Stegostoma tigrinum: one gene and its partner. The protein of the gene in region 1 purifies or fractionates together with the protein of each later gene. This does not show direct contact. Links are inferred from orthologs where the notes say so. Each region holds a gene or a part of one and is shown in the gene's direction. Other genes may lie near its edges. The genes, in order: pus10 and abitram.

Region 1 (15,650 bases):
AACAAATTTGAATGCATTACTCTAGGTGTGGTCTCAATAATGTGGTGTACAATTTGTTGTAAATCTGCACAAAGTTTACAAAATTGTTACATTCAGGGATTGACTCTTTAATTTAGGGTGAACTGGAGAAATGAAGGGGTCAATTGTCTTGTTCTTAATCGTGACTGACAACAAGCTAAAGATGCTTGGTTGTTAAAGATTGAAGATGGGGGCACAAATTGTTGAACTGAGAAAAAAAATGCAGGATGTTCACACCTCTAAATAGTTACCGATACAGCTGTTTTCACAATGGACAAACTGTTAGTCTCCAAGATTGACAGGAAAATTTTTGGAGGTCAGGTTTTATAAATGGTTATACAGAAGGAACAAGCAGGGGCATACACCTTCTAAAGGACAGGAAAGACCGCAACCAGCCCTCATGTACGTGAAATAACGCGGTGTGGAGCTGGATGAACACAGCAGGCCAAGCAGCATCAGAGGAGCAGGAAGGCTGACATTTCGGGTCTAGACCCTTCTTCAGAAATGGGGGAGGGGAAGGGGGATCTCAAATAAATAGGGAGAGAGGGGGAGGCAGATAAAAGTGGGATAGAGGAGAGGATAGGTGGAGAGGAGGCTGACAGGTCAAAGAGGCGAAGATGGAGCCAGTAAAGGTGAGTGTAGGTGAGGAGTTGGGGAGGAGCTAGGTCAGTCCAGGGAGGTCGGAGAGGTCAAGGGGGCAGGATGCAGTTAGTAGGTAGGAGATGGGGGTGGGGCTTGAGGTGGGAGGAGGGGATAGGTGGGAGGAAGGACAGGTTAGGGAGGTGGGAACAAGCTGGACTGGTTTTGGGATGCAGTAGGGGGAGGGGAGATTTTGACGCTTATGAAGTCCACATTGACACCATTGGGCAAGCGGAATATGAGTTGCTGTTCCTGCAACCTTCAGGTAGCATCGTTGTGGCAATGCAGGAGGTCCAGGATGAACATGTCATCTGAGGAATGGGAGGAGGAGTTGAAATGGTTGGCGACTGGGAGGTGCAGTTGTTTAGTATGAACCAATCGTAGGTGTTCTGCAACGCGGTCCCCAAGCCTCTGCTTGATTTTCCCAATGTAGAGGAGGCCACAACGGGAACAGCGGATACAGTATACCACATTAGCAGATGTGCAGGTGAACATCTGCTCGATGTGGAAAGTCTTCTTGGGGCCTGGGATGGGGGTGAGGGAGGAGATGTAGGGGCAGTTGTAGCACTTCCTGCAGTTGCAGGGAAAAGTGTCGGGTGTGGTGGGGCTGGAGGGGAGTGTGGAGCGGACAAGGGAGTCACGGAGAAAGTAGCCCTCCAGAAAGCAGATAACGGTGGGGAGGGAAAAATGTCTTTGGTGGTGGGGTCGGATTGCAGATGGCAGAAGTGTCAGAGGATGATGCGTTGGATCTGAAGGTTAGTGGGGTGGTACGTGAGAATGAGAGGGATTCTGTTTTGGTTGTTATTGCGGGGAGGGGGTGTGAGGGATGAGTAGCAGGAAATGTGGGAGACATGGTCGAGGGCATTCTTGACCAAATTTGGTGGGGGGGAGGGGGCGGGGTTTGCAGTCCTGGAAAAACAAGGACATCTGAGATGTACAGGAGTGGAATGCCTCATCCTGGGAGCAGATGCAGCGGAGGTGAAGGAATTGGGAAGGGGGGGATGGCATTTTTGAAGCAAGGTGGGTGGGAGGAGGTGTATTCTAGGTAGCTGTGGGAGTTGGTGGGCTTGAAATGGATATCAGTTTCCAGGTCATTGCCAGAGATGAAAACAGAGAGGTGCAGGAATGAGGGAGAGGTATCAGAGATGGTCCAGGTGAATTTAAGGTTGGTGTGGAAGGTGTTGGTGAAGTGGATGAACTGTTCGAACTCCTCGTAGGAGCATGGTTTTGCCATCTGGAATTGGATGTTGGCAGCACTGACAGACTGCCAAATGGATTATTGAAAGATTTATGATATCCAGCTCAGCCATAATCAATATGTCACTGTCAGCATTATTTATACCCTAATCCTTGCCTCAGTGAATCTTGATGAAGTCCTCAATACCATTTCAAAAGCAAAAACAAGAATCATCCTTCTGGGGATTTTTTTAAAGGTTGACTGTGACTTCAAAGTCTGTAGCAAGACGATTGGAAAAAATGGATTAGGATTAGCCAAAATAAACAGTAATCTCCTGCTGACAAATGCACTCAGTGCGGCATCATTACAGCATACATCATCTTCTACCAGTCCGCAGATACAAAAATAACACAGACATATCTCTGGGATGACTATCATATTGTATGTGATATTTATTTCCACTTGAGGCATCAGTTCATGTATCTTGTTAAAAATGCTGCAAAAATTCAAATAAAGAGCTTGAAAAATGAGCAACCTTTATCGCCTGGAAGAACATTAAAATATCACAAGTCAGTAATCTAACATCTCAAAGGTTATGCCCGAAGACATATTTGGAAGCTCAATGACTTGTGGTAGGAAGAAAAGGTATGCAAGATCCTCAACAGTTTGCTGAATATCATTACCTGCAAAGCTCTTTTTGAACCCACCAGGACCATTGATAAATACGAAAATTTGTAATCTAAAATTGACAAAATGCTTTTTGGTCTCTTCTCAAGAATGACAAACCCATTAATCTTCACTTAAAACAACTGCTGAACTGTGAATCCACAGCAGATATTAATAACCTTCAAGCTACCTGCCAATACCATGTGTTAGAATCCATGGCTCAGTCACCAATGGAAGAGCTACAACAGGTTATCCAAAGAATGAAAAGCAACAAAGCCTGTGGCTCCAGAGGTACTCCCACTGAGGCCTTCAAAGCTGCTGGGCTTACGTTCACATCAAGATTCCATATGCTCATTCTATGGTCCGGCAGAGAAAAACAAATAATTCTCTCGCCTCATCTCCCCACAACTTCACGAATGCAACATTTATGGCTACCTATAATAAGGAAAATGAATCATGTTGTGAAACTGTAGGGTTATTTCCATTTGTCTGGAGCAGGGAAAATCCTGACATGGATTCTCCTGAATGACATACTTCCTGTGGCAGACAAAATCCTTGCAGAGATATAGGGTGGCTTGAAAACTTGTAAAGGAACCCCTGACATGGTCTTTCTTATCAGACAAACCCAAGAAAGATGTTGAGAATAGCACCAGGAACTCTTTGTTGCATTCACTGACCAGACCAAACTATCTAACACAGTAAATTGTGAGGTTCTATGGATCAGAATGTCCAAAAAAAAATCACAATCCTGCAATGATCATGATGATGTGAATATAACTAACTACCTTAAGGGGAAGATCTGAAACAGATGCTTTCAAAATCCTAACTGGAGTCAAGCAAGGCTGTATGTTACCTCTCATACGATCTATAATATGCCTAACAGTAGATACTCACAGATAAACTGCATTCCAATGTCAATATTAAATATTGCCTGGACAGAAATCTCTTAAAATCTCTGTACCAAAGTTGTCTCTGTGCCAAAACTAAACTAACCATCATAATCATACACAATTTATACTTTGCAGATGACTGCAACGTTGCTGCCTATTCTGCATCAAAATTTGCAATTCTACAACCAAGAAATTTGACTGGCCCTTGAACTTTGCCAAAACAAAACTAATATCAACTCTCAACTGGTCAGCAAAATATTCTACCTCCCATACACATTGAAGGGCAGTCACTGAAATATATTAAGCATTTCCCATAATGTGACAGCCACCCCTCTCAAAAGGCAACCATTGATGAAAAGATCCCACACTGGGTCAGCTACATCAGCTTAGCCTTTTACAAACCGTGGTGAGCGTTTGATAACAAAGACCTGCCGAAGTCAAAATAGGTCTTAGAATGCACAGCAGCTACTGTCACCACACTAATGTTCTGCAGTGAGAACTGGACTATGATCAGCAGTACACAAGAGTACTAGATAAACACCATCAGCGATACCTCTGCATTAATTCAATACTTTTATTCCCTCTGCAGCAAATGCAGGTAGAATATATTTCTTTGAAGTCTCTTGCATTTTCTGGGTGCTTTTTTAAATTCTCCAGTCTTGCCTAAGACATCAACATTTACTTCAGCTATCCACTTCCACTTTGTATACACAGAATCTATTAGTGTATGTTTCCTGTCTCAAGCTAGTTTATTCTCAATTTATTTTATCTTTGTAAAAAGAAAACATCTTTTACCGGATTTGTAAACTTTTCTCAATCTTCTGGTCTACCCCGGATCATTGCAACATGGTATTATTTTTCTTTTAATTGCATCCTTACTTCTCCAGTTAGCCATCTGTCATGTGGAGTTTCTCTCTCTCATTGGAATATATGTTTGTCGAGCATTATGAATAGCTTCCTTAAATGCTCACTACCATCTTACTTTCTAACTTATTTTCTGTCCTCCTTAGCCAATTCTGCTCAGACTCTTGTACAAAGCTCTTGACAGACCAAGTTTGGAAATTTGTGAGCAGTTTAGGAAGGATGTGCTGGCCTTGGGGATGGTCCAGAGGAGGTTTACAAAATTGATCCTAGAATGAAGGGTTTTCATATGAAGAGTGTTTAAGGATCTAGGTCTGTACTTGAGTTTAGAAGGATGGGCGGGGGGGGGGGGGGTTTATGTATCTGATTTAGACCAATGTAATGCTGAGAGGACTGGATAGAGTGGCTATGGAAAAGACGTTTCCACTAGTAGGAGAAACTTGGACCCGACAGCACAGCCTCAGAGTGAAGGGATGACCCTTTAGAACTGAGCTACTGTGACAGTACAATGCCATGAGGAGGCATTTCTTCAGCCAGAGGGTGGTGAATCTATGGTTTCATTGCTACAGAGGGCTGTAGAGGCCGCATGGTTGAATGTATTTAAGACAGAGTTAGATAGGTTCTCGATTAGTTAGGAGATCAAAGGTTACTGGGAGAATTGAGTTGAGAAACATAATCAACCATGATGGAATGGCAGAGCAGACTTGATGGGCTGAATGGAGTAATTATTTTCCTGTATCTTATGGTGATGTTCCCATGTATCTGCTGTCCTTGTCCTGTCAGATGGTAGCGGTTGTGGGTTTGGAAGGTGCTGTCTAAGGACCCATGTTGAATTTCTGCAATGCATTTAGTTGATCGTACACACTATGGCTACTGAGCATTGCTGGCGGTGTGACTGAATGGTCATGGACATGGTGCCAAACAAGCAGACTGTTTTGTCCTGGGTGTTGTCAAGCTACACTCATCCAGGCAAGTCAGGAGCATACAGTTACATTCCTGGCTTGTGCCAAGAAGATGGTCAACAGGACTTTGGGGAATCAGGAACAACTTACTTACTGTGGCATTCCTTGCCTCTGACCTGCTCTTTTGGCCACAGTATTTGCATGACAAGTCTAGTTCAGTTTCTGGTCATTGCTAACCAGCTGGATTTTGATAGTAACGACATTGTGATAGGTACACCACTGAAAACCAACAGACAGTGATAGATTGGAAATGGTCACTGCCTGGCATTTGTCTCGCGCAAATGTTATTTGCTAGTTTTCAGCCGAAGCCTGGATACTGACCATGTCTTGTTGCATTTGGACATGCTCTGCTTCAGTATGCGAGGAGTTATGGAGGGTACATTGTGTAATCATCACAGACGACCTAATGAAGAAGGAGAGGTCACTGATGAATCAGCTGATCTGTGGGCCTATGACACTGCTCTGAGGAACTGCGGCAGTGATGACCCGAAACTGAGATGACTAACCTCCAAGAACTACCACCATCTTACTTTGTGTCATTATACAGAAAAATCGACCCAACTTGTTTTTTTTTTTAAAATCACTCATGATTTTAATCTCCATCTTCCCATCAATCATTGCCAAGACACCACCATTGGATATTTGTTTCCAATGCTGGTACTTAACTATCTTTCTCTATCTAATTCAACTTAACAATCCTTCTGATTCCTGAAATTCTACTCTCAATCAAACACACCCATTTGATTTTCTATCCATCCACGCATTTCTACAGCCCCAGGTATTCAATGTATAAAGGCACTGGTCCAAGCATGGTTCACATGAAGCCTATCCCAGTGGAAAAGCTAAAGTATTGTGCCAGTGTTTTATCAATTGAAACCCATCTTTCCCACAACAATTTCTGGAGTCCTACATTCAATCCCCTGATCAGTGACCCTGTGCCAGTTTGTTTGTGATTGAGTTAGTAATCTAGAGCTTACTGTATTTGTAGTTGATTTTAAATTAGCCAATGGCTGCTAAACTTCCATGTTCCTACCTATGATGACGATGCCTACGTGGACCACAATAATTGGATCAATGCCCTTGCTGTTCAAGGTTCCTTTCCTGTCCCCGATGAGCTTAATCCTGGCAAAGGGCAGGCAACCCAGCCTCTAAAGCTTATACTCCTGACTGCAAAGAACAGTAGCTATCCCCCATACAGTTCATACCAATCCTACTTTCTCTTTTCTTCCTTCAACTTATACAGCATACTATGAAAGAGAAATCATATCACAGAATAATATAATCCCTACAGTGTGGAAAACAACCCCTTAGGCCCAACAATCCACACCGACTCTCAAAGCACCCACCCAAACCCAATCCACTCTAACCCACCTAATCTACAAATCTCTGAACACTACGGACAATTTAACATTACCAATCGACCGGAGGAAACTGGACCACCGGGAGGAAACCCACACAGACACGAGGAGAATGTGCAAACTCCAAACAGACAGTGGGCAGAGGGTGGAATTGAACCCGTGTTCCTGGCGCTGTGAGGCAGCAGTGCTAACCACTGTGTCACCATACCGCCCCACAAATATAATCCCTCAGGATCAATCTTATCCCATCAACACAATCTTTATAATCAGTGACCACCATTGCAGTCAAATAGTATACTACTACACACTGGGCAAATTCCTTCTTTGTCAATCCGTTCATAACCAAAGAGTCACATGTGACTATTACTGTTCTTGGACCATTAGCTCTGTTGTTCCTCAAGCATTTATCCTTAGCCCTCTTCTAGTTCTCATAAACACACTGCTTCTTGGGATATCATTCAAAAGCACAAAGTGCAAGAATAGGCACTTTCCCTCTGAGCTATGCAATACGATTATAGTTTATCTATGATCTCGCTCCACCTTTCGACACTACCTAGCGTACCCCAATTCCTTTAGCACCTAAATATCTACTCACTGTTTTGAATATAGTCAACAATTGTCTGCAGCTACCTGGGATGGCATCGCTGTCCGTTGAAAGAAGAAATTTCTCATTTCACTGCTAAGTTATTGAATCATACAGTTATAGAGGACGGAAACAGACCTTTTGGTCCAAGTCGTCTGTGCAACCAGACATCATAACTGATCTGGTCCCAGTTTTTTTACCAGCATTTGGCCCATGTCCCTCTAAACCATTCCTATTCATTTACCTATCCATGTACACTTTAACTGGTGTAATTGTACTCACCTTCACCAACTCGCACAGCAGTTCATTCCATGCCTACACCACTGTCTGTGTAAAAGCACTGCCCTCCCCTGCCAGGGGCATTCTTTTCTCTGCATCCATCCTGGCAAGCTCATTAAGAATGATTTGTGTTTCTATTTCATCAGATCTAATTCCTTTAAATGCCAGGGAATAAAGGTCTACTTCTGTTAATCTCTTCTCATAGGACAATTCCTCATCACGGAAAGCAATCTATTAAACTTCTGATACATTCTAACTATGACACACTGACAAGACACACTTTCCTCAAACTAAAACTGCTCACAGTTTTCCAGATATACCCCCGTATAACTGAGGTGAGATACCTTTACTCTAAAATTCCAAGCCCTTTGTAATAAATAGCGATACACCATTTCCCTACATATGTTACTTGCTGTTCTGCTTGTTAACATTCTGAGATTCAGGACTTTTAAAATGACTTCAACAGTCTAGATGGATAACTTTTCACTTTGTCAACTTCTATTCATGCATTAGCTTTCACGTGTGCACTAATGGCATCCAGGTCAACTTCACTCGCACCTCCAGTATCTAAATTGTCACACAGCTCGTCCAAAATTCAATACTAAAAGGACAGACATTTAAACCATCGAAATATTGCTAAATCCAAGATTATGATTTTGTTATTAATGTTTTTGTAGCTGAACAGTTTCTGTAGTATAGAAATTTCTGACTCTCTATATAGTTATGTTGCAATTCCCGAATGTCGATTTCATTGCTCAATGTTGCTTCCAACCTTCATTCAACAAAAAGCCCAGTGGGAACTGATTACTCCCGAAGCATATTGGTTTCATTATCGGAGCACCTTATAAAATTCGTATCCATCACAAATTACACCGCATTAAAAGGTTGACTAACTTTACAATCCTACTGTTCAGAGCAGAAGAGGAATTTGCAGCTTTTCGGGGGTTTGGAGCACAACAAGCGGTGGCAATGTCGGGTGAAGTCACCCCACACTGGGCCTAGCCATTGATGTTCCCTCCGAAATGTTGAATGTTTGTTACTTTTAAACTTTACGGAGTACATTTAGCGCGGTGACTTCTGAAAAAAAAGCTTAAAATGAAGAAATGCTGGGAACAACTCGTTAGCATTTCGAATAATTCTCTAAACCTCTATCCAACTTGCTCAATCACATCACAGACACCTGCCACACTCCACTTGGCAAGTGCCGCTGTTATGATTTTGAAATCGGATTCGGTTCGAAAGACGATGATATTTTAAGAGTTCACTGTGGGTTTTTTTCTTAAGCGGAAATGCCATTAAGGCTTCACACCGAGCCACGGCCGTGCACATCATGATCACCGAATAACACTTACTGGAAAGAGGGGGCACTCAGGTTTCCCGGGATCCGTCTTTCCCAGGGTTTCGCTGGCGGCTGCGACCCCATAATCTTCAGAAAAACATACGCTCGGAATGACCTCTCGGCCCCTCAGCTTCACTCCCATCAGAAATAGCAAATAGGACAGAGGGTGACATCCGGACAGACACAGCGGCCAACAGAAGAAGAGGATACATCCAGACAAGACAATAATAGCCAATAAGACACAGGGATATATCCGGAAAGACATTATACCCAATAGGATAAGTGGATACAACCAGACAAACACTGCAGCCAACAAAAAAGGGTGATACGGCAAGACGGACGGTAGTACCCAATAGAATACATTGATACATCGGACAGGCATAACAACCAATACAACATGGAAATGCATCCTGTCAAACACTGCAGCCAATAGAAAACAGGGATACACACAGCTCGGCACAGTAGCCAATAGGACAGAGACATGCGCTGAAGCACTAACCAATGGGCTCTCGGGATAGATTCGAACTCGGAGTCATGAACTTGCAGCAAGTCAGAAAGCAGTCTCTGCGTCTGTCTGTAATCACTTCCGGCATTGGACTGTGGCTGTGGACTTGTGAGTTTACTGATGTATCGCTATATTTAACTTTTGTTTGTTCTGAGGACCAAGTCATTTGACTGAATACATTATAGTTTACCTATATCAGTCTTTTCTTTATGAAAGAAAAGATTTAACGCTAGTTAAATAATTGCAAAGTCTCCTAAGGCATGTGCAGGAAGATGTAAGTCTGTGGTGTCTTGCAGTGCTTGTTATTTTTATAGACTTTTCAATAGTCGTTTAAAACAGGTTGTTTAATCTGAAGTCGTTTCTTTTACTGTAGAAAAATTTTGATTCTTGTATGTAGAATTGATTTTTCTGTATCTTGTCTGGTCTTTTTTTTTTGCATTGTCGTATATATGTTCATTTTGTTCCTCCTACCAATTCTTCAATTACCCTTCATAAGATGAAGGAGCAGAAATTAGGTCATTCGGCCCATCAAGTCTGCTGTGCCATTCAATCATGGCTGATAAGTTCCTCCATCCTATTCTCCTGCTTTCTCCCCATATCCCTTGATAAACCAGAACTTATCTATCTCAGTCTTAAATGTACTCAATGACCTGGTCTCCACAGCCTTCTGTGGCAGTGAATTCCATAGATTCACCACTCTCTGGCTGAAGAAGTTTCTCCTTGTCTCTACTTTAAAAGATCTTCGCTTTACTCTAAGGCTGTGCCCTTGGGTCCTAGACTCTCCTACAAATGGAAGCATCTTCCCAACATCCACCTTGTCCAGGCTATTCAGTATTTTGACAGTTTCAATTAGATTCCCCATCCTTCTAAACTCCAATGAGTGTAGTCCCAGAGTCCTCAAATGTTCCTTTATATGTTAAGCTTTCCATTCGTGTGAACCTCCTCTGAACCCGCTCCAGGGCCAGTACATCCTTCCTGAGACGTGGGGCCCAAAACTGCACACAATACACAAAAAGTGGCCTAGCCGGTGCCTTTTAAAACCTTGGTAATTCATCCCTGCTTTTACATTCAAGTCCTGTCAAAATAAATGCCAACATTGCATTTACCTTCCTGACTACTGACTCACCCTGCAAGTTTACCTTGAGAGACTTCTGGACTAGAACTCCCAAATCTCTTTGCACTTCAGACTTCTGAATTTTCTCCTCATTTTAGAAAATAGTCCATGCTTTTGTTGTTCTTACCAAAGCGTATGACCTCTCACTTTCCCACGTTGTACTCCATCTACCACTTCCTTGTCCACTCTCCTAACGTGTCCAAGACCTTCTGCAGTCTCCCCACCTCCTCAATACTACCTGTCCCTCCACCTATCTTTGTAACATCTGCAAACTTAGCCAGAATGCCCACAGTTCCTTCATCTAGATCATTTAAAGTACAAACTGAAGAGTTGTGGTCCCAGCACCAACCCCTGCGGAACATCACTAGTCACCGGCTGCCATCCCAAGAAAGACCCCTTTATCCCCAATCCCTGCTTTCTACCAGACAGCTAATCTTCTATTCATGCTAGCACCTTGCCTCTAAAATCGTGGGCCCTTATCTTACTTAGCAGTCTCCTGTGTGGCACCTTATCAAAGGTCTTCTTGAAGTCCGGGTAGATAGCATCCATTGGTTCTCCTTGGTCTACCCTGCTTGTTACTTCCTCAAAGAATTCTGGCAGATGTGTCAGGTATGATCTCCCTTTGATGAAACCATGCTGACTTTGCCCTATTTTACTATATAATTCCAAATATTCAGAAATCTCATCCTTGACAATGGACTCCAAATTTTACCCACGACTGAGTTTAGGCTAATCGGACTGTAATTTTCCGTCTTTTGCCTTACTCCCCTTTTAAACAGGGTCACGTTAGTGATTTTTTCCAGTCCTCTGTGACCCTCCCTGACTCTCGTGATTCCTGAAAGATCACCACTAACACTTCCACTATCTCTTCAGCTATCTCCTTTAGAACTCTGGGGTGTAGCCCATCTGGTCCAGGTGATTTATCCACCTTCAGGCCAGTCAGTTTTTCTAGCGCCTTTTCCTTGGTGATGGAGCTGAATATGGAGGCTGTCTCCTGACTCTTGAATTTTTAGGATATTACTGGTGTCTTCTACCATGAAGACTGATGTGAAGTAATTCAGTTTCTCAGCCATTTCCTTGTTTCCCACTACTATCTCTCCACTGTCATTTTTCAGTGGTTCAGTGTCCACTTTTGTTTCTCTTTTGCCCTTTGTATACCTAAGAAAATCTTACAGTCTTCATTTATATTACTGGCTAGCCTGCCCTCACATTTAATCTTTTCCCTCCTTAGTTTTTTTTTTGTTGTTGCCCCCTGTTCATCTTTGTAAGCTTCCCAGTCCTCCGATTTCCCACTGCCCTTCTTGACATTATATGCTTTCTCTTTCTTTTGTTTTTATGCTATCCCTGACTTCCTTAGTCAGCCATAGTTGCCTCATCCTCCCTGTACCATGCTTCTTTTTCCTAGGGATGAATTTTTGCTGTATCTCCTGAAGTACTCCCAGAAACTTCTGCCAGTGCTTATTCCACTGTCTTTCCTGCGAGGCTCCTCTTCTAGCCAATTCTGCCCAGGTCCTCCCTCATACCTCTGTAGTCATCTTTATTCAGCTGTAATACCATTAGCTCTGATTCTATCTTCTCTCTCTCTCTCAAATTGCAGTGTAAATTCTATCATCTTATGATCTCTGCCTCCTCAGGGTTCCTTTACCTTAAGCTCCCTCGTCAAGTCTGCCTCATTGCACAATACGTGTTATTGAGCATTTGCAGAAAAACACTTTATGTTAATGAGATTGCATTAGTAATTAAACACTTCAAAAACAGTAGTCAGGATGTTGAGATATCAACTCATTACGGTCAGTTGTAAGAGGAGTTCAGAGTGACTGTTTGACACAGGTTTAGAATGAAAGCGTAATACTGCACTATCGTGCCTCCTGACTTGCTGTAGTCCTGTGATATCCACCATGAGACACTTATAGAGGTAATCAGTTCAGTTCAATAAAGACTCTTACTACAAGCCAAGGAGCACAGAAATGTTCAAAGCTGCGAAAAACAACAGGAAGCTACGGAAAAAGAACAAAGAAGGGAATCACGTTAGAAGGCACTGGATGAGGCACCATGCTGCATCTTTACTCTCCTGGTATCAGTTAAAACGAAATATAATATGAAGCAAATCTGACAGCTTTTTTTCATTTGCTTGCAAAATTAAAAAATTGCAGCAGATTTAATTTACAAGCCAAAGCAGCTACAAGTATCTCCGTTTTTTTTATCTCTATGGAGAGACTTGTGAATTATATTCTAACCTAAACCTCTCTAAAGAACAAAAAATATTAGAGAGCAGAAATTTTGAAAACCTGAAGTTACACCATGAACCTCAATTGATGATCAATATATTCAGCATTAAGGCCTATGTCTAAAAGTGTCCATTGATTAAATAGGTGGCTGCAGAATGACACTCTTGAGTCTTGTGAATTGAGAAAACAGGGCGGTACAGTGGCTCAGTGGTTAGCACTGCTGCCTCACAACTCTAGGGACCTGGGTGGAGTTTGCACATTCTCCCTGTGTCTGTCTGTGTTTCCTCCAGGTGTCCGGGTTTCCTCTCAGTCAAAAGATGTGCAGGGTAGGTGGATTGGCCATGCTAAATTGCCCATAGTGTCCAGAGGTGTGTACGTTAGGTGGATTATCCATGGGAAATGCAGGGGTAGGGGAATGGGTCTGGGTGGAATACTCTTTGGAGGGCCACTGTGGAATTGTTGGGCCAAATGGCTTGTTTCCACACCGCAGGGATAGTATGATTCTATGATGATTATGTAATTGAGTCAAGATATGTTTCTCCTTTCTGGAAAGTGATTAACATGTACAGAAATGTGGAGTGTTTAAATCAACACCAAGAGCATATTTATGACAGAACAAACTAGGCCTTTTGGGTATTGTCTTGACAGGTATTCCAGGAAGAGAGAGCAGAGGTAAAGAGCAAGTTGCAACTACATCACACAAAGCAAAATAAGGCATATCCAATTTGAGGTACGTAGTGTTCTTTCTACAGGAAGCAAAATGATTTTGTGGAAGTGTTTGATTAGAAAGAAGTAGAATGAGCAGGTGCAGATGGCCGCTGGAGAGATATCTGCATAGAATTCTGAAGAATCACTCTAAACCATTGAACATGTTAGTTCATTTGTCAGTGTATGATTAATGGTTTGTAACTATTGGGATGATGACTGCAGAAGGAGAATAACAAGTGATTCTGCAGTGTGAGATACACAATGGCGCATCATGAACTTGAGAGGCTTGTGTGAAATGACAACTCAATGATTCTCTTAAGTTGAAAAGTGAAGCTCTCAAAAGTAAAGTCGAGGCTGTATGATGGCACCACACTCATGCTGAGAGAAGAACTTACTTTGATTTGATTTGTTTTATTGTTGTCACGTGTACTCAAGTACGGTGAAAAGTTTTTTGTTTTGCGAGCATTTCAAGCAGATCATAATACTCAAGAACATATAGATCATAGGGTATTTGGATAGAGTGAGGCACACAGATACGTCTGCACAGAAGATGTGTTAAAGCAAGATCAATATTAGATTTGAAATTAGAAAAGTCCACTTAGTGATCAAATAACAGCAGAGAAGAAGTTATCCTTGAACGTGTATCTGTATCTTCTGTCTGACGGAAGAGGTTTGAAGACAGTATTACTGGGGTGGGAGGAATCTTGGATGGCATTGGCAGCATTTCTGTGGCAACGTGACGTGTAGATGGAGTCCTTGGATGGGAGGTTTGTTTTCATGGTGATCTGGGCTGTGTACACAACTTCCTGTAGCTTTTTCTAGGCCTGGGCAGAGCAGTTGCCATACAAGCCATTATGCACCCAGATAGAATGCTTTTTGTGGTGCAACTGTAAAAGTTGGTGAGGTTCTTATGGACTTGTCGGATTTCCAGAGCCATCTGAAGAAGGAAAGGCATTATACTGCTGCCTTGACTGTCAGATCCATGAGGGAGGTGCAGGACAGATTGTTGGTTATTGTTACTCCTACGAACTTGACGCTGTCCACCTCTGCACCATTGATGTAGATAGTGGCGTGTCTTTCTCCTTCCTTTCTGAAGTCATTGATCAGTTCTCTTGTTTTGTTGTACAATGGCATTGGGGCCCAAAACAAGCAGCAGTCATCAAGATCAAGCAACTAACAAGGTAATGGAGTTGACAAAGTGTTATATACATGACGAAGGCAGCCCACAGTGTGATGCCAGCAGGACAGGGCTTGGCGTATCCCTCGTGTAACAAGGACAACAAGCTGTATTTGGATCCAGTGCATTTATGCAAACAAAATGAATATATGCTCAGATCAAGATGTTGCCTGGGTGACTACCTTTGCTCGTGATCATTTTCATTAACACCTAATTGGAAGAGACAAGATGAGTTTGAATCTAGCCACAAACTGCTTCAAACTATTTTGCACAAGGCACTACTATTTACTTCAGAGTATCTGCATAACATGTTAGCCTGGTCACAGAGATACTATGTGAATGTGACATACAAGCAAAGGAAACAGATGTACATCACTGACCAAGCTGCAGACGGCAGATCTCCTTTTTATGACTAATGTAGAGGATGATGTGAGAGAGTGGATTTAGAAGATTTCACAATGTTATATGAAGTCTGTTCTGGAAGTCATCAGCTCAGCAAAGACATTGAATCTATTTTTCTGAATCAACCTGTTCAGAGATGTTATTTATACGCCTCTGGAGCAGATGGGACTCGAACCTGGGCTCCTCAGTTCAGGGGAAGGGACACTACCACTGCATCACAAAGGGGCCCCCAGCAATGATGCTGAGTGTTTAAATGCCTTACTTAAATCTGCAAGTGTTGCAAGAAATCGAGATGACAGGATGGCCTGAAAGCATCAAGGACACTCCTATGTCTCAAAAGTATATTGGGCACACAGATGAATTGACAGCTTGAAGTTGCATATTGTACAAAGGAAATATTTCTTATTCCGAAGGAGTTAAGAGAGATGCTGAAGTGCATCAATGCAAACTGCAAGAAATTGATTCCAGCCTGAGCGAGACAAGAGATTTGCTGTCCTGGCCAAATGTGAGTAATAAAATCAAGGGCCACATCAGTTAGTGTAGTTCTCATAATGAGTACTGATCTAAGCTAGATAGAGAGCCCCTGATGATGCATGACATCCCAGATAGACCATGGATGTAGCTAGGAATAGATCTGTTCGCACTCACAGGAGCTGATTACCTTGTCATGCTAGACACCGATTCTGACTCCTGGGAGATGGACCAGTTGATTTGAACCACCGCTGCTGAGACTAGGATGACCAA
Region 2 (15,546 bases), on another chromosome or scaffold:
AAGGAATTGTGATATATTTCCAAGTCAGGATGGTGAGTGGCTTGGAGGGGAACTTGGAGATGGTGATGTTCCCATATATCTGCTGTCCTTGTCCTTCGAGATGGAAGTGGTTGTGGGTTTGAAAGGTGCTGTCTGAGGACCTTCAGTGAATTTCTACGGTGCATCTTGTAGATAGTAACACTGTTGCTACTGAGTGTTGGTGGTAGAGGGAGTAGATGCTTGTGGATGTCGTGCTAATCACACAGGCTGCTTTGTACTGGACGGTGTCAAGCTTCTTGAGAGTTGTTGGAGCTGTACTCATCCAGACAAGTGGGCAGTAATGCATCATATTCCTAATTGTGCATCGGAATACAGTGTGGAAAATTGTGAGGTTTGATATGCACTTTGATAGGAAGAATAGAGACATAGACTATTTTATAATTGGGGAAAGGCTTCAGAAATGAGAAGCACAAAGGAACTTGGGAGTCCTACTTCAGGATTCTTTTCAGGTTAACATGCAGGTTCAGTTGGCAATTAGGAAGCCAATTGCCATGTTAGCATTCATTTTGCGAGGGCTGCTTCCAAGACCAGGGATGTACTGCTGATACTGTAAAAGGTCAGACTGCATTTAGAATATTGTGAGATGTCTTAGGCCCAGTATTTAAAGAAGGATGCTTGGCATTGGAGGGAGTCAAAAATGAGCCCGGGCATGAAGGCTTGTCATAAGAGTAGCAGTTGAGGATGCTGGATCTGTACTCGAAGGAGTTTTGAAAGATGAGTGGGGATCTCATTGAAGCTTACAGAATGCTGACAGGCCTGGATATAGTAGATGTGGAGAATATGTTTCCACTTTAGAAGAGACCAAACCTTGAGGGCATAGCCTCAGAGTGGAGGGACAACCCTTTCAAACTGAGATAAGGAAGAATTTCTTCAGCCAGAGTGTGGTTAATGTGTGGAACTCATTACTGCAGGAGGTGTGGAGGCTAAGCCATTGAATGTATTTAAGACAGAGACACGTTAATTTGTAAGGGGATCAGAGATTACAGGGAGAAGTTAGGGAGAATGGGGTTAAGAAACATAAAGCCACAAACGAATGGCGGAGAAGATTTGAAAAGCTGAACGGCCTAATTCTGCATCTATATCTTATGGTCTTCCTTAAACAAAGGAGTTATGGCTCATGCAACACAAGTAGCCGAAATGGTTGGTCCTTCAATCTGAGGCTGTGCCCTCAGGTCCTAGTCTCTCATACAAACAGCCTGTCCATATTCTTGTGTAGTCCATCTTTATCCTCAACAGATCACAATAATTACAAGCTTTGTTTAATTTACAAATTTTAAAACTGCGCTCACTCTACAATATCACATATCAAGAAAAGCAACTGTTCAAAGCTACTCTTGTTTCTGTCACTCAGACAACTGTAGTTATGCACTTTCCCTTTTAATCTGTGGGTTTCAAATTTGCTGATAAGCCTATTCTGTGGTGCTCTACTAAAAACATGTAAAATTATAGGTACACCACATCAGCTGCAGTACTGTCACTCACCCTGTCTATTATCTGATCAAAACTCAATCAAGCTGATTAAAAACAATATTCCTTTAACAAGTTCATGTTTGCTTCCTTTAATTACATTTATCCAAGTTGATTAAATCCCAGGATATCATTTGTAAAGGCTTTCCTATCACAGAGGAAAACCTGACTGAGCTGCAGCAGCTGCGTACACCTTTACATGTTAGGAGCCTGGGCCCTCTCCCTGTTACTACTTCCAGAGTGTGGCCTGTATGATCTTGCCTTTGGGCTTTGGGAACTATTGTCTGGGACTTGTGTGTTGGGACATGGCAGCCTAAAGGACTGTGCTGACTGGTGAGGCCGAACAAGTCACTGTCAGGCTCTTTTTCTGCGACTTTTGTGAGAGGCTGTAGTAGTCCTGGTTTGGGAGGCGTGGGTTGGGGCGGTGCGGGAGGGAGGGGGGGGGGGGGGGATGCGATGGTGACAGCGAGGCACTCTAAAACATCTGGGGTAGGACATGAACATTGAGATATGTGCAGTAATTTTGGCGGGGGTACTTGGTGCCCCCACCATTGTTGCTGCACCGAAGGTGTATGGAAAGGTAGTGTTGTTCCTGAAGACTGAGCAGGCGGGGCACCTTGCCCTGGGGAAGGGGCTTACTGTTGGTGGGAAGCTCTTGCCTGTCGACCCTCTGGAAGTAGTTTCTTAGAAGGTTATTTTATTGAACGTCACTCCCATCTGAGCTCCTTCTCTCCCATTTTGGCCAGCCTGGGGAGGTGAGGTTGGGCGTGGTGCCCCTAACTACTCAGACTGAAGGAGACTTGCCTGAGACATATTTACTCCTTATAGTGACAGGTTTTTGCCTGCCTGGCCTGGGAGGAGGTCACGGAGGGTACTTTCACGGTTGAGCACAAAAGTGCTGCTTACCCAGGTGTTCTGGTCAGCAGACAGTGTGCGGTGTCATGCCTGCAAGGCGGTGGGGCACCTCCAGAGGAACTGCCCTGCCTCGAAGGCTGCTGCCAACACCTACATGGGCTGCAGTTGGCATCACCACCCATCACCTCTTGATGCCTCCATGCCCCCTCGGTCCCTGCAAGAGGGAGGTACCTCGTTCTGGGCACCAGTAGGGTGGTCAGGGGCAACCTCCTGGGAGGATTCCCTGGGTAACCCTGAGGCTGTCAGCTCCCAGCCTGGAGAGGGATCCCTCTCACAGGATAGCAGGCCCAGGCCTGTCAGGAGACAGTAGGATCTGGAGCCTCACCTATTGCCTGTCAGTGAAAAGAAGTACGAATGAGCAGATGGTGTCCCCAGATCCCCCAGCCCCCTGCATGCCCTGAAACGCGTGGGGGCGAGGTGAAACAGACAACATTTTCAAGGAAGGGGGCATCAGGACAGTGGAGAAATGGAGGCGTCTCTCACTCCTGCATTCTCCCGATAAAGGTGCCACTCCTCAGGGCCCAGCACTAACAACAAATGCCCCTTGGGAAGGAGGGAGTAGCATCCCCTGGAAGTCCCTCTTCCCTCCTTGCTAGGGGAGGGGGACATGAACCCGCCTCTGCAGTCCACCTCAACTGGGCCAGGCATCTCAGAGGCTGAGGTGAGCATGGCCGCTGAGGTCTTGTCCATACCACAGGAACTGGAAGGCCTAAAAGTGCTGCCTGTGCTGGCAGGGGACTGCGGTGGGATTAGTTACCCTGAGGGCACCCTGGATGGCAGCTACAAAGCAGCAGGCCTCCTTGCCTCCACCCAGGCTTTTATGTCGGGCACCTCTGCCCCAAGTGAAGATCATTTCCCAGATACAGATGGTGACACGGCGCTGGGAGTAGAGCAGGTTTCTGAACCGCTGCCACCCAGGGGTCCGACATTTCAGTCAACCTTTTAGTTGAGTCTGGCATAACCCGAGACTTGGATCTCCCTGCAAAGGATGCTCCAACTGTTAGGCTTGGGGGTGGGGCTGAGGCATGGGATGTGTCTGACAGGTGATCCTGGTTACCCCCTGCATTTGATGTGGGGGAGGAGCCAGAGTAGGACGTGATGGCCTGGAGGAGGACTGAGCATTGGTCAAAAGCACTGCCGAGGTAGATGAGGCAGAGAATGATGTGGTGCTTGTGGACGAGGTCCCCCTCATCCCCAATGGGGAACTCCAGGACATTTTGCAAGCTGTGCTTGGTCACTGAGATAGAGTTCAGTTGGCTATGGATCGGTGGAATTCTCTACCACTTCTGGGCATGTCTGCCCAGCAGCAATTGGCAGCCCTGGGAATGGACAAGAATGCGAAGCACTGGTGCAAAGGACTCCTTTACTGCGCCCTCAGGGTGCAAGGGAGAAAGGAGTCCCTCCGCCTGCTCAGTAAGTTGGTCTTCATTGTTCTAACTGGTGGTGATGGCACATACTGCAGCCATGAAGACAGCCAGAGCTAGCCTCAACGTCAACGGCAGTGGGAAGGCCCAGCTGAGATTTCATATTTTTTGCTCCTCAGGGAATGAAAGGATGTAGTGAGCATCCTGCAGGAAACCCATACGGTCTCAGGAGACAAAGATATGTGGCTTGTGGAGTGGTGGGGAAGGGTCTTCATGAATCATCTGGCCTCTGATTATGGTGGGGTGGCTATCTTATTGGCCCTTTTTACCAGCCAGAGATCTTGAGGGTCAAGGAGCATGAGCCAGGTGGCCTCCCGTAACTCATGGTTCGTTTCAGAAGCATGGTGCTTCACTTCACAAATGTATACATGCCTTGGATGGGACCTGAGCAGATGTGCTTCTTCGAGGGAGAGTCTACTACCCTTCGCTCCATTGGTGAGGGTGAAGTAATCTTTTTCAGGGGAGATTTCAACTGTCCCCTTGAGAGGTGGGACCATGGCAGTACCCAGAAGAGTTCAGTATTACTGGGGAAGTTGGGGAACTTAGTTAAGACCTTTGACTCAGTGGATGTCTGGCAAAGTCTTCATCCCGATTCCATTGCTTTCATCAGTGTGTCCAGAAATGACCACCTCTACATTTCCAGGGCATAGGCCTCCTGTGTTCTGAAGGCCTCCATGCGGCAAGTGCCATTTTCCGTTCACGACTTTTTCTGGGCTGAACGTGTTCCGTTCGGCATCAGGGCAAGCTCGGCATAATGGCACTTTAACAACTATTTAATAACTGCTGGAGGACAGGCAGTTCTGGGACTCATTTCATCACTTCTGGACAGGCTATGGAGAAAGAAGTGCTGGGCTTCCCCTCCTTGAGGCTACAGTGGGATGTGACAAGACACACATCTGTGCCATCTGTCAGCAGTACATGTCAGGGTTGATGAAGGAACGGATAAAATCAAGGGGTTTGGAGAAGGAGATGCTCAACCTGGAGTCAGATCTCGGTCAGCCTGATGTGGACCCGACCCTGTGGGAAAAGAAAATGGAGACACTCCAGGATGTGCATCTTACTGGGTCCCGGGGTCCATACGGGAGATTGTGGGTCCACATCCTTCGGAATCTTGACCATGGCTTCGCCTTCTTTTACTTGCCGGTGAAAAGGCACGGAGTCTGTCAGCAGCTCTTTGTGCTGCTAGTCGGCGATGGATCCCTCTTCTTGGATCCAGTGGGCATCAGGGCCAAGTGACAGATGATTACGGGGTCCTCTTCTCTCCAGATCCAGCAAGGAAGCTTGCAAAGTTTTGTGGGAGGACTTACCACAGGTCAGCCCCAAGGGTCCCGAGAGGCTTGATGCCCCTCTGAGTGTGAAGGAGCTGACCGATGCCCTCGATGGTCATTCCTGGGGCAAGTCCCCAGGGCTGGACGGGCTGATTGCAGAGTTTTTCAGGGCATTCTGGGACATGCTGGGGGTGAAGAGAGGCAACTACATGCCGATCCTGGAGGAATGAATCGCAACCAGAGAAATGTGTCTTTCTGGGCGCAAGGCCGCCATCACTGTGCCTAAGAAAGGGGATCACTGTTTGTTTGTATTGGCATCTGGTCTCTCTCCTCAGCACGAGCTACAAAATCTTTGCCAGGGTATTTTTAACTCGCTGTGGCACTGTGCTAGATCACATGATCCATTCGGATCAGTCCTAAAGTGTCCTAGGGCGGAGTGTCCCCAGCAACATCCATCTGATCCAGGATGTGATCCATTATTCACAGAGGGCTGGCCTGTCGAGCACTGTTCTCTCTCTTGATCGGGAAAAGGCATTCGATAGAGTGGATCACAAGTATCTGCTTGGAACTCTGTGAATATTCAGGTTCGGAATGCACTCTGCTGCCTAGATCTGACTTCTGCACGCTACCATGGAGTGCCTAGTGAAGGTTACTGGATCCCTGATGGTGCTCCTGTGCTTTGGGAAAGGATTGCGTCAAGGCTGCCCCCTGTCCCGCCAGCTTTATTCTTACTGCCTGGAGCTGTTCCTCCACCTCCTACGTAAGCAGCATTTGGGTTTGGCTCTGCATGGGCCAGGGCAAGAGGTGGTTCTTTTGGCATATGTCAATGATGTGCTCCTTCTGTTCACAGGCCCAGCTGACCTGGAGGATGCACAAGTGCCAGGAGGTCTCTGGTGTTCTCTGCAATGATCAACTGGAGCAAATCAGGAGTTCTGATCAGTCCCTGGCAGATGGACATTTTGCCGGAGGAGCTCCGGTGCTTCACATGGAGTACCACTCACCTCCTCTACCTAGGAATCTGCCTTTGTTCTCATGAGGAATCCTCGCCAGTAAACTGGCATGAATTGGAGACCAAGGTGACCACTCACCTCACACGCTGGACAGGACAGGGTACAAGTGCTGGTCATAAGCCAGCTGATGGCCACTGTGTTGTGGTACTGGCTGGTCACTTTGGTCCCTCTGCCTGGCTTTGTCCAGAAATAGCTCATCAAGTTTTCCAAGGACAAGAGGCAACACTGGCTCGCTGCTACGGTCCTAAGTTTCCCGCTTGAGGAAGGTGGTCAGGTGCTTGTTTGCCTTCGCGTCCAGGGAGCGACTTTCTACCTTCACATCTTGCAGCAATACCTTTACGTTCTGCTCCCTCCAAGATAGTGTGCCCTGATGACATACATTTTTCCATCAGGTGTGTGGCCTCCATTACAACATGCAGTTGCTGTCCGTGGAGTGGTCCCAGCCTCGGGTCTTCTTCCAGGAGTTGCCTGCCTTCAATCTGAACCTGATCAATCGTGTGGGGCACGGTTGGCTTGTGCTGGAGTTCTCCTGCTACAGCAGTGGCGGGTCTCGTTGGGAAGCTGCTGCACAGGAGGTTTCCTCCTCGAGCGCGACTTGCACTGGCCAAGGTAGGAGAGAGTTCAGGATTCAGGGCGAACCAGAGTCAGGGCACGCGCTGGATGGCAAAGGAGCGGGCTGAGTAACATCAGCATCGTTGACTGTAAGGGCATCAATCCATCTCTGGTTTGTGACCCAAGCCATCTGGAGCCTGATGGACAAGGCACTCGGCCATGACACCTCGTGTACACTTGCAGCTCCTCAGGCGTGCATTGGGCTTCTGGACAAATTGACCCCTGTCCATCCTGAACTTGACACTGGCCCCGTGCTGCGGACCCTCCCCCATGACTTTGTGTCCCACAGTCTGAGCCATCTCAGCAATGTCCGTCTGATGGCCTTTTAGACAGCACAGAGGCATTATTTGTACAAGTTGATGCTGCACACTCTTCATTGCTGTGCCTTCATCTGCCGCCCAGGCTCGCCTTGGCATAATCTTTTGCCCTCCGGTGGTAGAGATCTCCAATGGAGGGCCCTCTATAAAGGTGTCTTCCACTCTCACATCAGAGATGCGGGGCGGAGAGTGCTGCACATTGGCGGTCCGGTGCTACCGGCAAATGTGTAAGTTTACCAGGTGCCAGTCCACATGCATGTTCTGTGGCCTGAAGGAGGCAGTGTTGCACATTTATATCAAGTGCATACATCAGCAGCCCAGTTTTAGTTTCTTTAAGGATCTGCTGTTAAAATTTGGTTGCATTTCAACCTCACACTCCTGATCAATGGGCATCAAGCAGAGGGAGTGGCAGACACGTGGATGAGCCTTCTTGTGGCTTTGCTTCTGGGCCTGGCCAAGATGGCCATCAACTAAGTCCAGGCAACAGACTTAAAAGGGGCTCATTGTTCCTACTGTTTGACCCCTTTTGTGGTTACACCCATGCTGGGGCATTCCTGGAGAGGTAGTGCGTTGTGCGTTGTGCTCACCGGCATGGTTGAGACTGCTGGGCGCCATGGGGCCTGGAGTGCATTATAGGCCTGAATGATGATATTCTGATTTAGTTAATTGTGTAAGTCTCCATTTTGTGTTTGCATTTGTTTATGGTTTGGTGCCCAGGGAAGAGAACTGTCTTATTTTTAATCTGTTCCGATTTTGAACCCCTTGGAAGAGCCAAAGCTTCTGTTTTAGCTCTGTACTGGCCCTGTTCCAGATGTGCTTGATGGGGATCAGTCTGAGGGGAATTTTATCTTTATTTGAAATGAGCAAGGGAACATCCTCTGGATTTTAGATTAGATTCCCTACAGTGTGGAAACAGGCCCTTCAGCCCAACAAGTCCACACTGCCCCTTGAAGCATCCGACCCAGGCCCAACCCCTAAACAACTACAGGCAACTTAGCATGGCCAATCCACCTAGCCTGCACATCTTTGGACTGTGGGAGGAAACCCACACAGACAGTTACCCAAGGCTGGAATCGAACCCAGGTCCCTGGCACTGTGAGGCTGCAGTGCTAACCAATGAGCCACCCTGCCGCCCACCATTTTTAAACCATTGTTGTCCCTGTCCCAGGAGTGCTCACTGGGGACAAAGCACAGCGGATTTATTTATGTAATTGGTTATTTGTTTATTTGATTATTTGCTTTCTTTGATTTTGCTTTTGTTTATTTTACTTTGGTCCCCTGTGGTTCCTGCCCAAAAGTGGTTGGTGGGGACAGAGTCAAGGTAGAGCCATTTTTTGCTTGTGTATTTGTTTTTGTTTCTCCCCAGAGTAATTCCTTTGTCAAATAGAAATCAAGTCACGGTAGCTTTATTTTCTGTTCTGAAAGAGCAGAATGGGCTCTGGCCTGGTTAGCACAGACAAGATGGACCGAAAGGTCTCTTTCCGTGCTGTGCATCTCTGAGTGACTGACATAAAATACTTCTCCGCGTTCAGTGCAACTTTTCTAGGCCCAGAAGCTGCAGTGTCTTTTCGTTATCAGCAGATTCAAATAATCACACCTTTAGAATCGGACGGTTTATCCGCTACATTTGTTGCAGTTCCCCCAGGAGACTGCATGGTGAACTTATACATTATAGCTACCTGCCAAAAGTGAAATGTAGCAAGCATCCTTCATTAACAACAACAGAAAATACCGGAAAAACTGAGCGGGTCCGGCAGCATTTGAAGCACAGTTCGATTCCGAGATTCCCCCCTACAGAACAGTATAAAAGTTTTGATTTTTTGCACAGCAATTAGTTGTGAAGTACCAAACATAACCAAGCGCCTGGAACTGGAACAAACACATAGCATCAAGAATCCAACAGGCACTTCCGTTGTGTTGCTAGGAGACGGTACTGACTTCCGGCGTGATGGAGGTGGAGGAGGCGCAGGCTCAGACCTATCCCTCAATGGTGGATCGCTACTTTCGTCGCTGGTATAAGACAGGTAGGTGGCTCTGTCACTGCTGGTACAAGGCAGGGTGGGTGCCTCTGTCACTGCGGAGCCTCGGCCGAGGTGCTGCTGCTGATGGAGCCTTGTCCTGGGTGGGGGAGATTTCCGCCAACCCCGACGGAAGGCCCCAACACCCGGGCGGTGGAATTGGCTCCGACCGAAGAACGGGCGCCGTATTCAGCGGGAGCGGTTAAGACCCCAGCCTGAATTTGCGAGCACCAGACTGACACTGGTTTCCAAATTGGGGACGAGAAGACAATAAACCATAATCCTATCTAAAAGGCTAGAAGGTGGGGATTAGGTTTCCTTTCGCAGAAATTCAGGGGAATAGTCTGGATTTCTATGGGAACACAGCCTAAACTCAGCCCAAAGTTCAGCTCTGATTGTAAGAATTCCATTGTATCTGATGAGATTTTTAATTTTGAGATGGTGTGGCAAAACTGCCAGACTATATGGACTCTGTTGATGGGCAGCTGCTGTTTTCTTCCTATTATTTATGTTATGATGAAATGGTTAGTAGAAAATAACTTGATTAAAATGCATAAGGTTTCCTTATTCAGCCTGCCTCTATGGAATTTTCACAGAGGTGGATAGTGCAGACTCACATCAAATTTGAGGGAAAATAATTCTAACTGCTTCAAAACATTGTAACTCAGTATCTTGAGTCTCAATGTATTGTGACTTGACATTGCCTCGGAAGCTTTTTGGATGTCCCAAGAATGTAAACACTAAATCTGTGAAATTTCAATCTTGTAAATGTATATGGATAGGGTGAGTAAGGAAAAATCTGGCTGTGTATAAGATGGGAAAAGTGCAGTTGTGAGCTTTTGACTGGAAGAATAAGAAAAAGCAGTAAATCTCAAAAAGAGAGCAGCTTTGGAATTCTGTGGTGCAAAGGGATTTGGATGTCTTTGTGCCTAAGTAACAGGTTAGTATGTAGGTGTGACAGAATCAAGAAGGCTAATAGAATGCTGTCATCTATTGAGTAATTGAACATGAAGGGTTGATGTGTTTCAGTTACATTGAGCATTGGTGTGTTGTAGAGGCAGAGATGTACAGTGTGGAAACATACCCTTCTGTCCAACTTGTCTGACCAGATGTCCTAAATTAATCTAGTGCCATTTGCCAACTTTTTGCCCCTATTCTTCTTAAATCCTTCTTTCTCTTATACCCATCCAGATGCCTCTTGAATGTTGTTATTGTACCAGCCTTCCCCCACTTCCTCTGGCAGCTCATTTCATACATGCAGCACCCTCTGTGTGAAAAGGTTGACCTTTAGGCCCCTTTTTAAATCTTTCCTCTTTCACCTTAAACCTATGCCCTCTAGTTCTGGACTTCCCCCAACCAGCGAGAGGACCTTAGGGGCACGAATAGATGACTAGCTATGATTTTATAAAACTCAGCCTATGACGCTCTGAGGATAATAGACCCAGCCTATTCAGCCTCTGCCCATAGCTCAAGCCATCCAATCCTGGCAACATTCCCCAGGGCCTTACCATAATGTGTATAAGTCCTGCCCTGATTGGACTTTCCAAAATGCAGTACCTCCCATTTATCTAAATTAAGCTCCATCTGCCACTTCTTTGCTGTCCACTACACCACCAATTTTGGTGTTTTCTACAAACTTCCTAACTACGCCTCCAATGTTCACATCCAAATCGTTTTCATAAATGATGAAAAGCAGTAGACCCAGGACCGATCCTTGTGCCACACTGGAGGGGAACTTGCATGGTGGTGTTTCCATGTATCTGTTGCTCTTGTTCTTCTAAATGATAGTGGTCACTGGTTTGGAAGATGCTGTCTAAGAAACCTTGGTGAATCAAGAACTGGAAGGTCAAGTTTGTGAATAAGTTCAGATTTTGATGAGGGGAGAAAAAGTAATGTGTGGGGGTGATGGGAAGACACGAGGACACAGGGCATGTAGGTTATAAAATGAGTGAATTTAATAGGAAGATGTAATTTAAATAAAGACAATAGAATATAATAACTTTGCACTATGTACTGCTATGAGGCATTTTTAAAAAAACAGCTTTGCAATTTTTGACGAGTTTTTTTCTTTGTTCCAGATGTTAAAGGGAAACCGTGTGAAGATCATTGTATCTTACACCATTCTAATAGGTGGGTGTATATGATGTATTGCTATTGCAACTTCATAAAGAATAGTGCAATATTGTACGTTGTCATCTTACCATCATCACTAATTATCATTGCTGATAATGACAGCTGCAGGCAACCACACATGTGCAGTCATTGGGCGATGCACAGTTCCAAGCCCTGACATCACCTGCACTTTGTGTAATGTCATGTGTAAATGCATTACTGCGCATACACAGGCAAGTGCACATGCTTTTGAAGTGGGCTTTAGTGGTATGAAGGCGGAGACAAGACACGATATTTGGTGGTGTGAAGAGGGATACGATGGGGAATTCCTAGAGGGAGAAGAGAAAGAGGATCTGGGAGCTGGGGGAGAAGTTTTGTGTGTGCACAAGGACAGCCAAAGGGTAGCAGGCCTCGTCACCCCATCTGCTGGCCTCTCATCACCCTACCCCTCTCATTTTCTCCTGGATCCCAATCTTCCTGTCCCTTTCTCTTCCTGTGTTTATAATGTCTGACCAGGAACCAAAGAAATTAAATTGCTGCTATCAAATGCAGAGCAATGGGGGATCCTTAGTTTGGGTGGAAGGTCAGTTAAATGTAGGTTTTAGGACTTTGCAGTTCAGCTTTCAGAATTTAAGGATTCAGAAACACTGATTTGTGTGAATTTCTTTCTTTTCTGGGAATCAAAAAAAAAGTCTTCACTGAGGTCTCTTCAGCTGATTTTCATTCAGGATTGTTGTTAAGCAATAGTAGCATGGATCCTAGGATTTTTCTAAGTTGGTTTTCTTTTATAGACTTAATGGCTTGACAATCTCTTGTCTGTCTTAAAAGTCTTGGTTTGTATCCTCCAGTAAGCTACCCTTGTGGGTCTTCTGTTTTAACTTTTTTAACTTCTCACTTCCAAGAAATCACAAAGCCTCTTCAACACAATGACATCCAAACAGTTCCATTGTCTAATTTTGCATTGTTAAAGGTACACATATATAGATTAAGTGGTTAGTGCTGTGGAAGTCATTTGGGAGAGGACCTTAGTTTTCAGGGTGTTCAGTGCCTAGCCTGTTGCTTATATGTTGGCAGTGAGCTGAAACTTATTTTCTCAATGCAGACCTGTGTACTGAATTCAGTGACTGAAGTGATTTTGGTTTAGGATTGCAGATGGTGTAGGTCGAACAGCTTCCGCTCTGTTCTGTAGACCCTCTCCATGCCTTTGGGCAGTCTTATTTAGGAAAAGAATATTAATGGGTTGTGGCCATCACTTACTAGGCCTACATTTATTGTCCATTCCTAATTGCTCTGGGGAAGATGGTTGTGAGCTGCTTTCCTAAATTGCTACAATGCTGCAGTCCTTTGAATGTAGAGATCCTCACAGTGCTATTAGCTAAGGAGTTCCAGGATTTTGAGCCAGTAACAGTGGAGGAATAGCAGTATGGTTTTAAGTCAGGCTGAATTGTGCTCCTGGAGGGAGATTTGTAAGTGGTGCTGCTACCATGTATTTGCTGCTTCGTCCAACTAGGTAGTAAGACGGCACAAGTTTGGAAGTTAGTGTCAGAGGAGGCTTGGGGAATTCCTGTTGTCTATTTTTTTAGATGGTTTATTGTACAGCCAATGTGCAGTGGTGGAGTACGTAAGTGCTTAGGGTGGTGGATGGATTGTAAACTAAGCAGGCTGATTTGTCTTTAATGGTCTTGTTAGTGCCCTAGGCAGTGTGCCACACTTGCTGGATAGATGCCTGTGTTACAGCTGTATTGAAACATCTTGTTAAATGGCACTTCTAGTCCTCGAGCACGTTTTCAGTACTGTTGCTAGAACGTTGTCAGCCTTTACAGCATGCAGTGCCTTCATTCAGCTGTTTCTTGCTATCATGTGGAGTAAATAAATGGTTCAAAACTGGGTACTGGGTCCTTTTCAGAAGGGTGAAGCTGAGTTGGTATTGGAATGAGAAAGATGTAAAAGAGGGTTGCTGCAGTGATTGTAGCTGCCTTTGATCTTCACAGGGCAGCCACATTTAAGGAGAATACTTCATAAGCCATCACAGTTGACAGTAAACGGCTTCTTTTGAAATGTCATCTTGTTGGTATGCATTATTTTAATTTCATGCAGGAGGTGTGTGTTCCAGAGATACTGATTTCTTTTATTAGAAATAGCTGTTGCACCTCAGTCTGAATCAAATTATTGGAATTACTAATTTAACTGAATAACACAAAGATACAAGTAGCAGTGATTTCCTGTGATCTGAGCTAACGTATGTAGTTGTTTGACAATAGGTAAATTGAGGAGCAATTTAGACAGAATGGGCTAAATACATTTTCCTTTTGTATTTGTATATGTAATACTTTTAAATGTATTTATGAAATCTGATGTAAAGAATTAAAACTGGGTTCCAAAGCATGCAGTTAGACCATTAGCTCATATTATGAAATACCTAGCATTTGTGCTAAGTGAGAATCGTTTTTTTTACATTAAGTCTCTGTATAAGGGAAATTAATCCTACATAACAATAGTCTAAGAAAACACAAGTAATTAATTTTACACTGAGTTTTCATCCTTAAATTTAAAAATGTAGTTCAAGGTTGACTCACTAGTACAAGTTATTGGATTTAAATTTCTCTCCAGGGTCTTAACATTATCACTGAAGTGGACCGAGTTTAATGGCCTGCCATATTACTCATACAGCATTACAAAGAATAGTTTTGTTTACTAATGTTCTGGCTAACACTTTACTCTTAACCAACCCAATAAGGGTAATCCATTAACTAGAAAACAATTCATAATTTTTGTAGGACCTTGTCAAATGTAAATGTTTCTTTTACCAAATACCAGTAATAACTGTACATCAAAAGTAAATAATAGTAATGACTACACTTCAAAATTAGTGTAGTTTTTATCATTCCAAAGAAATGATTTGATGCTAATTAAATGGAAGTTGACTTTTGATTTATGTTCTTGAAAGGGCAATTTAGTTATCTTGTTATTACTGATCCATCTTAACCATGCCAATATATGTAAGTGATCACTAATGATAGCTTTAGAACCATAGTAATTGGCACATGATAATCCACATGACTAAATATGGTGCAGAGCTGGATGAACACAGCAGGCCCAGCAGCATCAGAGGCGTTGGAATGCTGACGTTTCGGGCCTAGACCCTTCTTCAGATGTGGGTCTGAAGATTGGTCTAGGCCCAAAACTTCAGCCTTTCTGCTCCTTTGCTGCTTGGCCTGCTGTGTTCATCCAACTTTATACCTTGGTATCTCAGATTTTCCAGCATCTGCAGTTCCTACTATGTCTGACTAAATATTGTTGTTGGACTCCTGACATATAGAATATAGCACTTATTCTAGCATTGGAAGTATGTAGGCTGTTCTTTTTATCTGCTTTTGAGCTCTAATTCATGCCACTCTTGATTATGACAGGATATGTGTCATCACACTGGCAGAATCTCACCCTCTGTTACAGAGTGGGAAAGAAATAAAAAATATAAGCTACCAGATCAGTGCCAATTGTAGTCGACTACAAAACAAGGTTTCAGGAAAATCTAAACGGGTATGTTTGATCTTTTTTTATTTATTTGAATTCCTTCCCTCTCAATCCCTTAGCCATGACCTCAGACGTAGAAGTGATAGAATGACAGGCAGTGTTGTTGTAAGTGTGTGCTTTTGAATAAATGATATTGAAACATTTTATTTCTTGGAATGTTATTTACATCCATCGTCACCATTTTTTAAAAAAATGGTCTGCCATTTCAGTCGTGGGTTTCAGCAGGATTTTTTTAAAAAATATGCTTTGTCAGTGATCTCCTATGTTTCTAGATCTAAGACCTAAAGATTTTGGAAAGTATACATGGGAGCAAAATGAAGACTTATCAAAAAAATTTCAGTTAATCCTAAGTAACTTGGATCTGTACATGTCACACATCACACGCCTCTTGTTTCTGTTTGTGATTCTGATGGAGTTTTATTTTAGATGTTTGTTTGAAAACTTGTATTTTTGTAAAGGAGCTGAAGCTGATACATGTGTCTTATCAAATTATTTTCATACTATGTAGCTTTAGTTGTCGTACAGTGATGGTTCCATTGATTTGTTTTATTGCAATAATCCGTAAGCCAATTTTGATTTGTAAATGTTGTAAAGCACATCCATTCTCCAAAGTGTGCTCTCTTTTTCACCCCATGTTTCTATATTATACAATTGTATCCTTAAACTGAACTGGATATTTCATGTAGCATTTTCAGTTTGTTATTAAATTTCTTGGAAGACCCAATCTTTGTGAATACGTTTTCTGAAATTTGCTGTAATTTCACATTTAATATTACTTGCAGACTCCAAAAGATTATTATTATCTCATCTGGGCACAAGTCAGGAGTTTG

The links.
Region 2: the proteins of pus10 (region 1) and abitram purify together in Homo sapiens (affinity purification with mass spectrometry; 3 studies listed by BioGRID and IntAct, counting the BioPlex papers as one, with this or other methods). This does not show direct contact. The link is inferred for Stegostoma tigrinum from reciprocal best matches to the Homo sapiens genes PUS10 and ABITRAM.

Annotation. Positions count from the first base shown.
Region 1 is NC_081362.1:41,432,079-41,447,728, forward strand, and holds the start of pus10 (putative tRNA pseudouridine synthase Pus10), read left to right. Parts: upstream 1-9,305; 5' UTR 9,306-9,385; intron 9,386-9,392; exon of another isoform or gene 9,393-9,551; intron 9,552-13,267; 5' UTR 13,268-13,349; intron 13,350-15,650. Other genes in the region: pex13 (peroxisome biogenesis factor 13), read right to left, coding at 8,786-8,856. UniProt on the Homo sapiens protein: Protein with different functions depending on its subcellular location: involved in miRNA processing in the nucleus and acts as a tRNA pseudouridylate synthase in the cytoplasm.
Region 2 is NC_081355.1:106,693,444-106,708,989, reverse strand, and holds the start of abitram (protein Abitram), read left to right. Parts: upstream 1-8,986; 5' UTR 8,987-9,000; coding exon 9,001-9,076; intron 9,077-11,148; coding exon 11,149-11,200; intron 11,201-14,592; coding exon 14,593-14,722; intron 14,723-15,546. UniProt on the Homo sapiens protein: Actin-binding protein that regulates actin polymerization, filopodia dynamics and increases the branching of proximal dendrites of developing neurons.